Linked DNA regions of Yarrowia lipolytica. The protein of the gene in region 3 purifies or fractionates together with the protein of the main gene of each other region. This does not show direct contact. Links are inferred from orthologs where the notes say so. Each region holds a gene or a part of one and is shown on either strand. Other genes may lie near its edges.

The links. Proteins that work in one complex are often made in the same cells at the same time.
Region 1: the proteins of YALI1_C30119g (region 3) and YALI1_F04895g purify together in Saccharomyces cerevisiae (affinity purification with mass spectrometry; 6 studies listed by BioGRID). This does not show direct contact. The link is inferred for Yarrowia lipolytica from reciprocal best matches to the Saccharomyces cerevisiae genes SEC27 and SEC21.
Region 2: the proteins of YALI1_C30119g (region 3) and YALI1_E38593g purify together in Saccharomyces cerevisiae (affinity purification with mass spectrometry; 6 studies listed by BioGRID). This does not show direct contact. The link is inferred for Yarrowia lipolytica from reciprocal best matches to the Saccharomyces cerevisiae genes SEC27 and RET2.

Annotation. Positions count from the first base shown.
Region 1 is NC_090775.1:486,619-492,663, forward strand, and holds YALI1_F04895g (uncharacterized protein), read right to left. Parts: upstream 3,612-6,045; coding exon 3,005-3,611; intron 2,959-3,004; coding exon 839-2,958; downstream 1-838. Other genes in the region: YALI1_F04920g (uncharacterized protein), read right to left, coding at 4,902-5,477. UniProt on the Saccharomyces cerevisiae protein: The coatomer is a cytosolic protein complex that binds to dilysine motifs and reversibly associates with Golgi non-clathrin-coated vesicles, which further mediate biosynthetic protein transport from the ER, via the Golgi up to the trans Golgi network.
Region 2 is NC_090774.1:3,857,352-3,861,495, reverse strand, and holds YALI1_E38593g (uncharacterized protein), read left to right. Parts: upstream 1-2,151; coding exon 2,152-3,306; downstream 3,307-4,144. Other genes in the region: YALI1_E38608g (uncharacterized protein), read right to left, coding at 1-643; YALI1_E38561g (uncharacterized protein), read right to left, coding at 3,708-4,144. UniProt on the Saccharomyces cerevisiae protein: The coatomer is a cytosolic protein complex that binds to dilysine motifs and reversibly associates with Golgi non-clathrin-coated vesicles, which further mediate biosynthetic protein transport from the ER, via the Golgi up to the trans Golgi network.
Region 3 is NC_090772.1:3,008,517-3,014,004, forward strand, and holds YALI1_C30119g (uncharacterized protein), read right to left. Parts: upstream 3,481-5,488; coding exon 1,195-3,480; downstream 1-1,194. Other genes in the region: YALI1_C30086g (uncharacterized protein), read right to left, coding at 1-135, 568-615; YALI1_C30130g (uncharacterized protein), read left to right, coding at 4,549-4,567, 5,040-5,488. UniProt on the Saccharomyces cerevisiae protein: The coatomer is a cytosolic protein complex that binds to dilysine motifs and reversibly associates with Golgi non-clathrin-coated vesicles, which further mediate biosynthetic protein transport from the ER, via the Golgi up to the trans Golgi network.

The sequences.
Region 1 (6,045 bases), on a different chromosome or scaffold from region 3:
GTTCAAATCCAATGTTGCAGAGGTGGTGAAGAAGTAAAAGTTGTATAGAAATGTAGCTGGAAACGAGGACTATGAAAACATGTAATAAATTATCATTCTTGTCATACAAAAATTCCATTCCGTAGCCATAATAGCAAAAAAAATGTCCTCCCTTTTTACTTAACTTTACTTGGAAACATGCATATATGACCAGTCATCATTACCACACTATGGCGACTCTACTTTAACACCCACCTCGCGCTTTTCGACTCTTCTTCCTTCACATCACTCGCCCCAAATCCAACAACACAAACACAACAAAGCGGCGGACGCAATCATGTTCTGTCTCCAATTCGGCGTGGTGTTTGTGTGTGGATGTGGTTAATTGGTGTCACAAGCTGAAGTCAGTTTGAACTGTTCTCGCTTCCTGAGACTACAGATTAAGAGTATGTCGAATACACTTTACTAAGGTGGTATCGGATTCTAGTCATGCCCAGAAGCCTCTAATAGTTTTCAACTGCATCTCACTCGGACAACTCCAATTCGCGGAATATTGGTCTTATCAGAGTGACATTACAGAATCACATTAAATCGTGATAAAAACAACTTGAATCGTGATAGAATCAGTTGAAATGGACTTGAATTGGATAGAAACAATGAATCATCCTTTTGAGCAGGTTCCCTAGCTGAATCATCCTCCTAAAGCATGCTCCTCAGCCCTTCACGTGGACGTTCTAGCCATCATCATCCACAGAGCCCAATCACACCTACTACACCAAACTTGCAATAATCCTTCACTATATATCTTACTAACCAAAGGCCACTTATCTGGCCTGTTCGCTCATTAACAAAGACGCACTTACAACGAGCCCACAAATCCAGCAACCAACTCGGCCACTTCCTCATCACCCGATCTAGCCTTGCACTGCACCACAACTCCTGTTCGCTGCGAGGCGGCCATCTTGATCTGCACAATCACCTTCTCGCCAGTCAGAGTCTTTCCAAACAGCTTCAGAGTATGTGTGGAAGCCGAGGTGACCTCATCAGACGACTCCAGAGGAGTGAGAGACAGCTGTGAAATGAGAAACTGGACAGCTTCCTCCAGACCCTTGTATTCGGACAGAGTGGCAGTGTCAACCGCCTCGGTGTTGGCCAGCTCGTCCCACAGGTGGTCAAACGAGCCGATGAAGCCACCCTCGAGGTAGTCGCCAGCACCCAGCACCAGGTTCTCAATCTGGTACTCGTCCTCGTCGCCGTCCTCAGACACCTCGCCGGTGGTCTTGTTGATGTCATGGAGAGTGAACTTGAGAATGTTCTCAAACGATGCAACAGCAAGATGGTCCTCGGTCTTCTCGAGGGCCACGTAGACGGTGCCGTGAGAATCGGGACCAAGCTCGTCCACAGGAAGAATGAACTCCTCCACCAGCTCCTCGCTGTCGTCCTCAATAGACGCCACCACTGACACGTTGCTGAGCTGTGCGTCGGGAAGCGTGTTGTGCACGTCGTACTGCAGCACCACGTGGCTGGGGAAAATGTGTTTGATGGCAGTCACGACAAACTCAGTCTCGGACTCGGTGAGAGCCACCGCAAGAGAAGACTTGAGAGGAGTGCCAAAGGCTGCCAGATCGGGAATAGCGGCCAGCTCGGCAGCGTACTTCTCGGCACGCTGGATAGCGGCCTCGTGAGAATTGCTCTTGGACGCCAGGTTGGCGGTGGTGGCAGCAGCCGCAGAAGCAGGGGTGGGTCCTCCAGCTCCGCCGTTGACCACAGGGGTGGCCTCGGTGGTCTCTCTGTGTGCCTTGAGAGCAGCCTCTCGGGCCTCCTGGTCGGTGATGAGAGGCACAGAGGACATGTCAAAGGGCGTGTCAAAGTCGGCACCGGACCCAGTCACATACAGAGCCAGCTTGTGCTCCAGAATGGGGAGAGAGAATCGCGACTCGGGCGAAATGTATGCCTTGGCCTGGGCCTGGTCACCAGACTCGAGCAGCTTGAGCGCAATGACAGCTCGGTCTCGCACCTCGTCGGTCTCATCCTCCAGAGATCGCTCCAGCAGCACCTTGACGGACTTCTTGACAGAGGTGTCATCCACCAGCGCGAACTTGGCCAGTGCAGAGACAGCAGCTGCTCGAATGAAAGCGTTTTCAAGCACGATTCGGTTGTAGATGTACCGAATGTACACTGTGGGGTTGGCGGCGGCAGGGCCCTCCTGTCCGAGAGTATGCAAGACGGAAACAACAATCTCGGTGTACTCGCAGTCCTCGATGAACTCGCACAGAATGCCGAGGGCGGTGTCTCTGCAGTCGGGCACGTACCGGATCATGTCAAACAGCGCGGCAACCACGGCAGCCTTGTATTGGGCACTGCCACCATCGTTCCGAAGGGTGTTGCCAAAGAACTGCAGCATGGTAGACTTTTTAGCGTGGAACTTAAGCGCTAGCGACCGGACAGCATCGATGACCACAATTCGGAATTCGTCGGTGATGTCGGACATGAACCCGCTGATCTGGGTGACCAGCTTGTCGACGGAGGCCTCATTGCCGGTCTTGAGCAGCGCCGTGATGGCGTAGGTGGCGATGGACCGGTTAGAGTCGGTGATCAAGGGCTGGATCTCCGCGTTGCACACGGCCACGGCGCCGGGGTTGGTCATCGCGAACCGGTTGAGGATTCGGATGGCTGCAAACCGGGCAATGGTTCGAGGAGACGCCAGGAAGGCCCGCAGCGACTCAATGGCGGAGGCGGCCTCCTTAGGGCTCACGTCTCGGAGGGTGAGCACGGCCTTGGCGGCCTCGAGGGCGACCATGTCGGATTTGTGGCCGAGATATCGTTCCAGGAGGGCCACGAGCTGTTGCCGGTGGGCACCGTCGTTGGCAGCCTTGGCGATGAATCGGATGAGCATGACATTGGCGTTGGGCGACTGCAGGTGGGCCGAGGCGCCGGAGAACTGCTGGATGAGCTTGATGAGGGCCATTCGGTCGTGTGCTCGCAGCTCGTACAGCAGCGACAGGGCGTGGTAGGGGGCCAGCACGGCGGGGCCGGGGCGTAGTTGGGCAGGGGTCACCCGCCGGGAAGTTCTTCTGCGACGTGACCGCCTCCTGGACCTCGGCGGCCCATCGGCGAATGGTGTCCTTGGCGATGGGGAGCAGGTGGTAGGCCGACACGAGGGCGGCCGACGACACGGAGGTGTGACGGTCGACAATGGCCGTTTTCATCAGCCGCTCAATGCCCTGCACAAACGAGCCGTCAATGACCCGCGCCAGTGCTCGGATGGCATTGGGTTTGTAGATCAGGTCCGACGAGCCCTGCACGTCTCGGGTGATGGACGAGGTGACCATAATCACGTCGTTGTTGGACAGAGGCACCAGCTCCTTGATGGCCAGATACACAATCTGCCGCAGCGACGGGTCCTTATGGGGGAACAGCTTGGACACGGCGATGAACAGACCCGTGGCCTCAAACTCACTGAAGGTCTCGCCGATGGTGAGCAGGTGGATCAGCTTGGCCAGCAGCTTTCGGCACTTTCGCGCGTTGATGGGCGACTCGGCAAACGCCCGCTGACACTCCTGGTACACGGTCATCTTGTCCAGCGCGCCCGACTCAATGTCGTCGTTTTTCTTGTAGCTGAGCGCTGACATTGTGGGGAGTGGTGTAGGATGACAATGTATGTGTGCTGTGTGTCGGTGTAACAACTGTATCTGACGTGTTTCTTTCGTTAGGGTTAGGGTAGGATAGGTGGAATGGATGGGAGGAGTGGTGCCGGAGCTGTGGGTCGAAAAAGGGCACTTTTTTGGACGGCAAAATAAATTGGGCAAGGAAAAGAAATATGAAATCGCTATAATATGTGTTTAACCCATTTTTTTCTGCTTTTTACACCCAGCGAGCGCCTTTTCTGAGCCCTCTGATCTGGCTCTATGTACAAGTACAGTACATCCGACGTGCGGTTATACGGTTATACAGGTAGAAGTTGAAATAGACCCTGAAAAAGTGAAAAAAATGGGGAAAAATGTGGGAAAAATTACATTAAATATAACACAACATTGTCTTTGAAAGTAATAATTTTGCGGATTTCTATCTCCCCAGAATTACCATTTAAACCGATCCTCCATCGCGCCAAAACACCCTAATTTATTGTACGGCGTAAATAAAGTTTCGAGACCCGGTGGTGAAATATTGGAGATGTGGAACAGGACGTTCATGGGTGTATAATCGGAAAAAATGGGGAAAAATGGAGAAAATGAGGAAAAATCAGAAAAAAAAAAGGGAAAAAATTGGAAAAATCACAAAAATCTCAACGATCTAAACATGCCGCCAAATTTCTGAGACTCTCGGAAAAATCAACCACATTCTCCAACCTCTCCCCATTCACCTCCTCTCCTGCAACTATCAAAACTCCTGCGCACTCATGTGATGCAAAACCAACCAGTTTTGATCAAAATGAGCTGTAAATTTCACAGTAGAGTCTCAAAGACGTGATCATCACCAATCACCAACATCCAGTCAATCGACCATCTTTTCACCCACCTGATCCAACTGTTGTACAGACTCAGTTCTGAGACAGTTCTGAGACTACGGCGAAAAAAAACATAAGGTAGACACAACCAACAAGTCTCTATTGTTTTTTTATTTTTTATTTTAACTATCCATATTTACCATCAACAAGCAAAGACTGCTTCTGATAGAAACAGGTATATACCACTGAAACCGCCCCTAAAACACACACTTTATATATACCCCATTAATTATGAAGATACTTCACTGAATACCATCACATTCAGCACAGAGCTCAACTGCAGCAAAACATTAACGACCCCACCCCGTATCACTCATCATGACGCGTAGTTGCCGCAGTCGCTACGGATAGTTCTATGGGCTGAAATTGATCGCTCTCTCGATCATAGTTCGGTCTTCCCCCCACCCTCCTAGTTCTATCGCCTTCTTCTCGCCCGCATCGCCATAATCGGCCGCTTCACCACATTCCACTTGACTGTGTCCCAGGCTTTGGTCACAAAGTGGTCCTCCTTGTTCTCAGATGGGTCTTTGTAGTTGTAATCTGCAGCAAAAGTGTTGCTGCCCCCACCTCCCACGCACCTCCGCTTCCGATTCTCAGGATCGCCACTGACGGGAACATAACTCTCATCGCCAACCTCGCGATGGAACTCGCAGGTCGCAGCATGTTCCCCTCTCTGTCCACAATCATAGCACGAGTTCAGCAACTCCGAAGAGGGAAGACACCGCAGGTGCTCAGGGACCTTGCTCTCAACGGCGTACTTCAAAATGCCGCGAGTGCCGTCCGCCAGCTTGCGCACCTTGTACTGTGGCAGAGTGTGCTTGTTTTTGCGCTCGTAAACAGCACAAGCGTTCCACTGGTTGAATGTTGCAAAGGGATTGTAGCTGTCGATCTTGTTCTCCTTTCGTTTCCGCTCGACGACACTGTGGAACTCGGGTGTGATTGTCTTGGCCCAGAAAAGATCGTGAGCGTCAATGGCGTGTGGGTCGTCCATTACTTTTCCGTCCGGAATGGGGCCTCCATCCTCAGGCAGGGGGGCGACAGAGGGAGCGGGTAGAGAGTGACGTTTGCGACTCTGAGATTGAGCCGAGGAAAGACTCTGTAGATAGCTGACAGGCTGTCCAAGGCCCAGACTCGAGTGTCGGGACTGATAGGGCCGGGTCAGCGAAGACGACTGTGGCTCAAAGGGGAGATGCGCAGGAGTCTCCTGATGTGAGTATTTTTGGAAATCGCCCTGGTAGCTTGGGCCAGAGGGAGTTGGAGGAGTTGTTAATGACAGGCTTGTTCCCACAACTCGGCCATTCTCGTCCAGCTGGATTCCCTGATAGTGGTCTGGGCTGAAAGGGTAATGGGATTCAGAAGGCCGGGATGAGGCCTTGGTCGAATATAGACCGTCAATGTAGCCAGTCTGTAGGGGGGACGACTTCTGAGAAGATCCAGCGGTAGGCTGATAACCACTGGATGGCAGAAACCTCTGGTGGAGTTCAGTGGGCGACCCAATCGAGTGGCGACTGGGACGGGAGCCGTGAGCGATTGAAGGACTCTGGGCATAAGTGTAGTTT
Region 2 (4,144 bases), on a different chromosome or scaffold from region 3:
GGTTTGTCGCTGGAGGAGGGTTCATGATTCGCTTGTTGGCATCCTCCAGCTCTTGATCCCGGATCGCCAGTTTCTTTCTGGTGTGTTCCAGCTCCTCTGTCAGATCCTTTATCTCTTCCTTGGCCCGGTGGTGCTCTCCAATCAGCACATCCTTGGCTGCTAGTTCAGCTTCCAGGATTGCCACGTTCTCCAATGCTTCATTGTAGCGAGTCTGAATATCTTCCAGGGTGGAGCATGTGATTCGTTCCCGTTGTTCAATGTCGTCGTTGGCGTTCTCCGTTTCTCTCAGCCGTTCCTTCACCAGCTTGTGGGCGTCCCGTAGACTGCTCACTTCTCTTTGTAGAGCCTGTTGTGTAGAGGCTGCCTCCTTATGGGCGTCCAGAGCCTTCTTTCTCCATTCCGTAACCTCGGATTCAAGTGCGCTAATTCTGTCCTCTAGTTTGGCCTGTCGCTTATCACTTTCAGCCAGTTCCTGCTCCAGTTCGAGTTCCAGCTCCTTGGATGACTCCTGAAACTCCGTCAGCTCGTGTTCCAGCTGCTGGATCTGCTCTTTGGCCTGGAGGTACTGGTTGTATGCAATCACCTCGAGGTGTGCCTTGGAGTTGGGCGTCAAAGGCGACGCAGGAGTGTCGATATCGGTCATGGTGTGTTCTGATCTGCTGTGAGTGCGTGTCTGCGCCTATGAAGCGGTTCCTGGGGGTGTGGTGAAGCTTCCGAGTCGGTCCGGACTACGCACGGGCGTGTAGTGTGCTCTTACAGTCTATAGCCAGTGTTAGAATGCTCCCTGTGAGCGTGTTGAGGTTGGCTATTTTCAATGTTTTGTTCTGGAGATGAAATTAAACCCAAGTAAATACATAGAGTTGCAGCGTGCATATGACGTGGAGATATTATTGTTCCAGGGTGTATGGCGCAGATGGGATGGTGGTGGGATGGTGGTGGGATGATAAAAAACAACAGGTGAGGTGAAGCGAGTGGGGTTTTATAGAGGGGTTTCAGTCGCTTTTAAGCCCTATAACACTTCTAGTGGTGTGGCGGTTACTGGGCACCGTATTTGGTTGTCCCTACTATACTGAGTATGTATGTAAGTATTTGTTTTACTTGTCGCTAATCTGAAAGAAATTAAGGACTCGCTCCCTTTAATGAAACAAGCCCATGTGATGAGGGTGCCCCTAAATGGAGAGAGCTGATAGCCGACATATGAAAGGAATCACACTATAAGAAAGCGTGACTCCCGCGCCACAGAACAAAGTGCTGTACCAGTAGCTGTGTAACATGGAGAGGACAGTACGTACGGTGTGATTAACTCGTTCCAGACCACTCTCCACGACACTTCAGTGTCTAGAGTTAACGGAGAGTTACGACAATCTCAACTTGACGCGTTTACTGGATGACGACTTGGAAATATGGAGTATCAACACTCCAAGAACGCTCAGAATAGATTGTCAAATCCGTTTGTTCGACAAATACGCGTACTGGTGTCATACCTGTGTCCTTCAAATACACTCCTTCTTGTTACGGCAACATTTGCCTGTCACCCTCCCATACTCCCATCGGTACTCCCAGCCGCACAAGTTGAGCTTAAACACGTGACTCCTAACCTCTGTGGGCGAACCCAGTGTTTCTGTCAATATTCCAACCTCGAACTCTAACAAGGACAACACATCAGCACACCAGCACACATCACGATCAAAGGAGGAAAATGGTAAGCAATTGGACGGATCCGAATCGCTCGCGCATATACTAACACAGGTCGTTTTAGCCGCATCCATATGCTCACGTGGCGGCAAAGCCATCATCTCGCGTCAATTCCGAGATCTGCCCAAAGAGAAGGTCGCCGGACTGCTGGCCATCTTCCCCAAGCTCATCCAGGGCTCCAAACAACACACAACCGTGGAGCACGACAATGTTCGATACGTTTACCAGCCACTGGAGGAGCTGTACGTGGTTTTGATCACCAACCGTCAGTCCAACATTCTGCAGGACATTGAGACTCTGAGACTGCTAGTCCAGGTGGTCACTTCGTTGGTACGTGTCGTGGATGAGCGGGAGATTCTGCTGGCCGCATTCGACCTGCTCGGCGCCTTTGACGAGGTGGTGTCCCAGGGCTACCGGGAAAACCTGTCTCTGCAGCAGATCCAGACGTTTTTGGAAATGGAGTCCCACGAGGAGAAGATTCAGGAAATCATTGAGCGAAACAAGGAGCTGGAGGCCACCGAAGATCGAAAGCGAAAGGCCAAGCAGCTGGAGATGCAGCGAAAGGAGGCTGCCAAGCGAGGTCTGCCCGGAAACGCTGGAGGTCATGGATCTTTCCAGGCCCCCGCCTTCCAGGCCCCCGCTCCTTCGTTTGTGCAACCCGCTGCTGCTCCCGCACCTATCCCCGAGACAACCCACAAGCCCCGTGCTCCTCGAGGAAAGGGCATGCAGCTCGGCAAGAAGAAGGGCGGATTCGATGACAGCCCCTCTGCTTCTCTGCTGGCTAACGCTGACATCGCCGTGCCCACCCCCAAGTCAAAGCCGCAGCAGCAGACTGCCCCCGCAGCAGCAGCTCCCTCTGCCTACAATCCCGAGGTCCAGGGCGTTCATCTCACTGTCGCCGAGGTTGTCACCGCGACTCTCGGTCGAGACGGCTCTGTTAAGAGCGCTGAGGTCAAGGGAGACGTACAGCTGAGAATCGGCAACCCCGACCACACAAAGATCCGAATCGCGCTCGAGGCTAACGCCCCCGGCGTCAAGTACCGAACCCATCCCAACGTGGACAAGGCGCTGTTCTCCTCGCGCCAGATCATCGGTCTCAAGGACCCCTCTCGAGGCTTCCCCTCTAACGGCGCTGCTCTCGGCGTCCTGAGATACTCTGCTAACGCACCGGAAGAGGCTGTTCCTCTGACCTTCAACTGCTGGTTTGCGAAGTCGGACCCCGGCTTCTACGACGTGACCCTGGAGTACGAGGTCTCTGAGGGTTTCACCGGCAAGATGACCAACGTGTCTGTCATTGTGCCTCTGGTCTCCTCCAACGCTCACATCTCCGACTCCTCCATCACCTGGGACCAGTTCGACGACCATCTCGAGTGGATCATTCCTGAGATCACTGCTGATGGTGACACCTCTACCGGTGCCTTTGAGTTCACCGCTGAGGCCGACCAGGAGGACGAGTTCTTCCCCATGGAGGTTTCCTTCACTCTCAACGACCCTGAGACCACAGTGGGCAACGTCAAGATTCTCAACGTCTTCTCTGCCACTGCCGAGGACGAAAACATCCCCTACCAAGAGGTGACCCGAGTGACGTCGGACAACTACCAGATTGTTTAAGGAGGAACAACTACTAGGTAGCATGTATAAGTAGGTTGTATGGAGCTGTTATTGGAACAACGAGTACAAGTAGGTTGAGTGTAAATTGGCCGTATTACTGGAGCAATATGTGACAAAGTAGATTTGGTATCATGTGTTTCCTGTGTCTGTGTCACTGTTGGGTATTGTACTCGTACCTGCTGTAGTATTGTACATACTGTAGGTTGGGCAAGTAGGGAAGAAGCTGTCAGGCTATATTAAGACACACTTGTAGCTAAACTGGTGAAGATGTCTTGCTGTGTTTGTTGGAATAGATTACTTGGTATAACCACTATTAGTAGATATTATGAAGCTGTTTGAAGCGTTGAGAGAGACGAGAGAGAAAAAAGTTCCTTTATGTCAATGGTAATCCTGTTATGTCACTACAACTGCAAACTCAGCCCGGGAGTGGCGATTATGAAGTCGCAGCCAATGCTCTCAATCTTGGCCAGGCCGATTATATCCTCCAAAACCACTTTCCGAGGATCGTTTTCGGGATCCTCATTGTAAATATCCTCCTTTACGTGCGTGATAACAACAGGAAGACCCTTCAAGTGCAGATCTGGAGGCGGTTGGTGTGGATGATGTGCGTGTGTCTGAGGGATGCGTTTGGGGACCGGAATCGACACCTCCTCGTCCATGTTTTCCACGTCCAACTCGTTGGTCTCATGAAGTTCTTCCCATCCCACCATAGCATGGAAGTCCTCTTCACTGCCCTCCACCATTGATGCAAAGTACTTAAGTTCGGCAATCAGGTGGCGGGGGGAAAAGTGACCAAAGAGAAGAGCGTCGTCGTGTGGGTTGGCAAACGAGCACTCGA
Region 3 (5,488 bases):
GCCCTGGCCGCCGTTGAGTCGCAGATCTCGCTCCATCATCTGGGAGTCCCACTGGTCAATGGCGAATCGGTCTCGGACGCCTCCGTTTCGGTAGACGTGGAGAACCTGCATGGCTCCACCTCCAGCGGTGAGGAGCTGAGTTAGTCTATGAATGGGGGTTGTGGTCGTGTGCCTCGCGACCTTGACGGGATCGAACTACTCCGAGGCAATAAACAACAGTCTGAGAGAATAGGGAAAAGCGAAGACATGTGAGATCTGATTCCAAAGGATTCTGCGTGATACAGACATATCCCCTGCCGGCTGGGAATACCATGTCAAAGTCATTGTACGTCAGAGACTTACTGTAGCTTCCCTTCCACAGTAATGGAGTGGTCCGGTATAGCTGGTATCACAAGCATCGTTCATCAATCGTCCAGGGAATGTGGCACCTCCACTCTCGTATCGAATCGCTCTCCAGAATTTCTGCATTCACTCCTGTAACTGTCGTCTTGTAGTGTACCTCCTGTCCGGTCAAATCACAAGTCCAAAGCCATAGCTCGAGCCACAAAGCCGCCGTCTCATACTTACACCAAAAATGATACCGTAAGGGAGCAATGCCTCAAAAGGAATAGCCATTTTGTCGTGTGTCTGGTTGTGTGTTAGAAGCTGTGATGTCACTGCAAGCCGAGTTACCCAAATTTTGATTGGTGGGAGGGACGCCCTCCTAACCCTGACTTTGGAACTTTGTTTAGTAAGCGATGAGACCATTGAAAGAGATCTACTCAGCGTGATAACAAACAAAGGCACGATCAAACAGTCACATGATATAAATTACTGCTACATTCAAAAACAACCATCTCAAACCATTTCTCTACACCATCTCGACAACTGGACTATTCATACCTCTTCTACACACTTTAACGTGACATGATATCCAAGTAAACTGTTGGGAGTTAAACTAAAAATACTGTAGTTTTAGAGTAAACTCTTCGACCTCGAGCTGGACAAGGAGCTGGATATCCCCCCTGGATACTTAATCACTGTGCAATACTGTACAAGTACAAGTACACTGGATACTTCCTACAATATGTACAATATGTAACTCACCACTTCCACGGTGTACTCCGCAACAGCTCGTGCCATGCTCTCAATCTACTTATACAATGATATTTATTTAACATGACCTATTTCTACGTCCACCTCTAGCATTCCCTCTTACAAGGTGTTGGCAGCCTCATCAACCTCCTCCTGCATCTTGACCTCAACCTCAACCTCAGCCTCAGCCTCGGTCTCGGATAACTCATCCACAGCCGCGGGGTTGGGCTTCTCGGGTTGCACGTTAGTCACGGCCTCGACCTTGCCGTCCTCCTTGATCTCGACAGGAGCTCCCAGCTTGGGTTCGGCAGCCTTCTCAGCGGGCTTCTCCTCAAAATCAATCAGGTTGCCCTGAGGGAACTTGTCGGGTTCTTCACTGGGGGAAGAAATGGACTCGGCAATCTTGTCCTTACCGTTGGCGACCAGGGAAGCCTTCCACTGACCTACAGACTTCTCCACGTTACCCTTTCCGTACGACAGAGCAACGAGAGCAGCCTCCGAGTGTCGACCAGTCTTGTTAAGCAGATCAACACACTGCTTCACGGCACCGATGGACCACAGGGCGTTGAAGGCAACGTTGTACTTGCCAGCATCGGCAGCCTTGTCAGCCACCCACTCCATGCCGGCTCGGTTTCCGGTGGCCGAGTACAGCAGCAGCAGAGACTCGACCTCGGCGATGGAAGAAGACTTGAAACACTTCTCGGCCAGGTCGAAGTTCCAGGCGGCAGTGGCAGCGTCTCCAAGCAGCTTCCATCGGTGGTCTTGAGGCGATCGCTCAGCAATCTCAGAGGCCACGGACAGGTCGTTAAGTGCAAGGGCAAGATCAAACTTGTGCTCGTCGTCGGTGCTCACCTCCAAAGCAAGCTCCTTGAAGCCCTGGGCCTCCAGGAACTTGGCCACCTTAGACAGCTCCTCCTCAGGGATTGCAGGGAGGAAGTCCGACTGCGCAAGCTCGACGTCGCCTCGCAGAACAACAGTCTGGTATTCAACGAGAGGCACAGACAATCGGTACGACGACACATTGACATCCTTGTCACACAGGTAGATACGCGAGTCCTTGGACACAAAGCCAAGCAGGTACTTGGCCTTATCGAAATGTGCGACTGTGTATGTGACGCCGCCAACCAGGTAGTTGAGTCGGTTGACGGACGAGGTGTAGACGAAGCAGTCGAGCAGCCACTCTCCGGACCGAACGGAGTCGGAAATTTCGTGCAGCAGCTCAAACGACTCCTCCACACCGTCCTCGTCCACGTTCTCGGCCTCATCAACCGCGTCCTTGTTGTATCGCAGAACGTAGAAGGCGTCGGCCGAGGTGATGGCGACCAGCTCGCCAGAGTCAGACCAGTGCACGCCGGTGACACCCTCCACGTCAATTCGTCGCACCAGCTGGCCAGTCTCCCACGAGTACATGGCGACAAAGCCATGACCCTTCACACCGAGCAGGGTACCACCGAAGATGCCCTCAACGGAAAAATTGGGGTCTACATGGCCCAATGGCCGCTCCTTGAAGTTCTTGTAGACTCGCACGGAGCTGGGGGACTCAAGCACAGCGTACTCGCTGGAGTCCTGGGCCCAAACAAAGTCCAGACCGGAGCCGTAAGCCTTGTTTCGCCATGCCAGAGCGGTGTAGATGATGTACTCACCGTCACCAACAACAGCCACAAATCGGCCGTTGGGGGAGTGTCGCAGGAAGGTGGGGAAAACCTCGACGGATCCCAGCTCCTTGGGCACCAGAGCAAGGGATTCGCCGTCCTTGGCGTCCTCGCCCTTAACCTGAGCGGAATAGACTTCTCCGTGCTTGCTCCACACCAGCTTTCCAGAGCTGTCCAGAGAGATGGCAGGGTCCTCCTTACCAAGACGGAGGACAACCGCGCCGGCATCAAAACCGACAGCCACGAGGTTGGAGCCTCGCTTGACACCCACACACCAGGCTCGCTCATAGCTGTAGTTGAGGGTCTGCTCGAGCTGGTAGGTGTTAGCGTTCCACACCTTGACGGTATTGTCCTCGGCACCAGAGATGATGACGGGCAGATCGGGATGGAAGACAGCGAAGGACACGTTGTTAGTGTGGCCCTCCATGGTGGCGACGCAGGCCTTGGTCTGGTAGTCCCACACCTTGACGGTCTTATCGTCCGAAGATGTGATGAGGTAGGGCTTGTCAGCACCGGGATAGTATTCGACGAAGTTGACGCCGGCGGTGGCATGGGCCTCGAGGGTGAAGTTGGGCCGCGACACGGTGGAGGCGCCCGACAGAGACCACACCTTGACGGTTCGATCCAGACATGCGGAGGCAAATGTGTTTGTGTCCTTGGGGTTGAAGGCCACGTACATGATGTAGTGGCTGTGGCCCAGGTACTGTCGCTCCATGGTCCAGTTTGTGTCCCAGTTCCACAGCCGGATGGACATGTCGTCGCCGGCGGTCAGCACGTAGGGCAGGGTGGGATGAACGGTGATGACACGGATGTAGTCGGGGTGGGCCTCAAACTGGGCCTCCTTGGCTCCAGTGTTGTAGTTGAAGACTCGCACAATAAAGTCGTCGGAGCCAACAATGATCCAGTTTTTTCGGGCAATGAACCGACCGGCTCGAAGAGGAACATCTGCCACCTCGATGCTCTTGACCACCGTCTGTGTCTCGTAGTTCCAGATCTGGGCCACTCCCGAGTACAGAGTGGTGAGTAACCATGGCTCAGTGGGGTGGAAATCGATTCCCTTGACTCGGTCAGAACGAGTCTGCGAGTGTCGCTGTGTTAGTCGTCGTCATGGCCGCGTGAATCGCTCAATTACTCACCTTGATTTCGAGCTTCATGGTGTAGTGCTACGCAGAGTGCAATAGAGAGTTTCATACGTGTACTTGTAGTGTTCGGTAGGGTAAGTAGGAGGAGTGATGGCGCTGGGAAATGCTCTGCTCAAAGAAACATCTCCGGGGGACACAATATTGTATAATAGAGATGATAAATGGACAATAGGAAGCTTGCTCTGAATGTTCCAGTTCTCTCTCAAGATAAATACTTCCAAGTCCCACAACTTTTGGCACCAATTACGTCTACACACACACCTGATGTACAGTGTACTCGTGCTCGCCTATTGATCTCACACCACAATATGTACACGTAATGTCCCAACACCCCCAAAGGACCACGGTTTTTACCTTGGTGCTGCACGATTTTGGCTTCCGTTTTACGTGTCAGCCAAAATTCATATCGGTAGGAGATTGCACAATGACGGGAGATTGTAGAGGATAAGCGTGGAGATAAAAAGGAAGAGAATTGTATGTGAGGAAAAACGGACAGTATATATACTCTTTTGCAGCACCTTCTATTGCTCCCAAACACCTCCTATACCAGTACCAAAGCGTCAGCCCCACCCTGGACTCAGTCGGATGCACGTGAAGCCGCCGGCTTAACCTTTTTGCTACATTCCACCTCACTCACCAACTTATCATCACACGTTGTCCTACTTCTTCAACTACTAATCATGTGGATTGTCAACTGGTGTGAGTATGGATGGAATACAGGGGCACTGATTGGTCGCTTGTGTTTGTGTACTTGTTACACAGACGCGGAGGCTAGCGGAAAAAAAGAAATCAGATCAAGTGGCGATACACGATACACGACAAGCTCTACAGCGACACGGGGGCTTCGTGACTTGAAATCCCGGAGGTGAAAACACAGTTAACAGAGACTGGCGACTTAGGGCTGTTCCAGAGACTCAAAAACAGGTACCGATGCCGTTTTTTGCCCCTGTTGCATTCATCAAGTTGCGGTTTGATGCCGTTCAGGGTTGCTCAACCCCCTGAAGATACACGGTTGCTCTGCTGTTATACCCTAAACAGTCATACGGTGGTATTCAACACAAGCAAACTCTCTGTGCCGTTATTGTACTGCTTAAACAGCAAGTCTGCTATCGTATCGCCGCTCAATTTCGCTTCACTCGCTTTTTGATTTGCCCCCCTTTTGCTAACCTAGTCTACGACGTTCTGTCCTCTCTCGGACTATGGAACAAGAACGCCAAGCTGCTCTTCCTCGGTCTCGATAACGCCGGAAAGACCACCCTGCTGCACATGCTCAAGAACGACCGAATGGCCGTCTCTAACCCCACCGTGCACCCCACCTCCGAGGAGTTGTCCATCGGCAACTGTAAATTCACAACCTTTGATCTCGGTGGACATATCCAGGCCCGACGAGTGTGGAAGGACTACTTTCCCGAGGTCAACGGCATTGTTTTCCTCGTCGATGCCGCCGACCCTACTCGATTCGCCGAGTCCAAGGCCGAGCTCGACTCTCTGCTTGCCATTGAGCAGCTCAAGACTGTGCCCTTCTTGATTCTTGGAAACAAGATCGACATGCCCCAGGCCGTTTCCGAGCTCGAGCTCAAGGACGCCCTTGGACTGTACCAGACCACCGGTAAGGGCAAG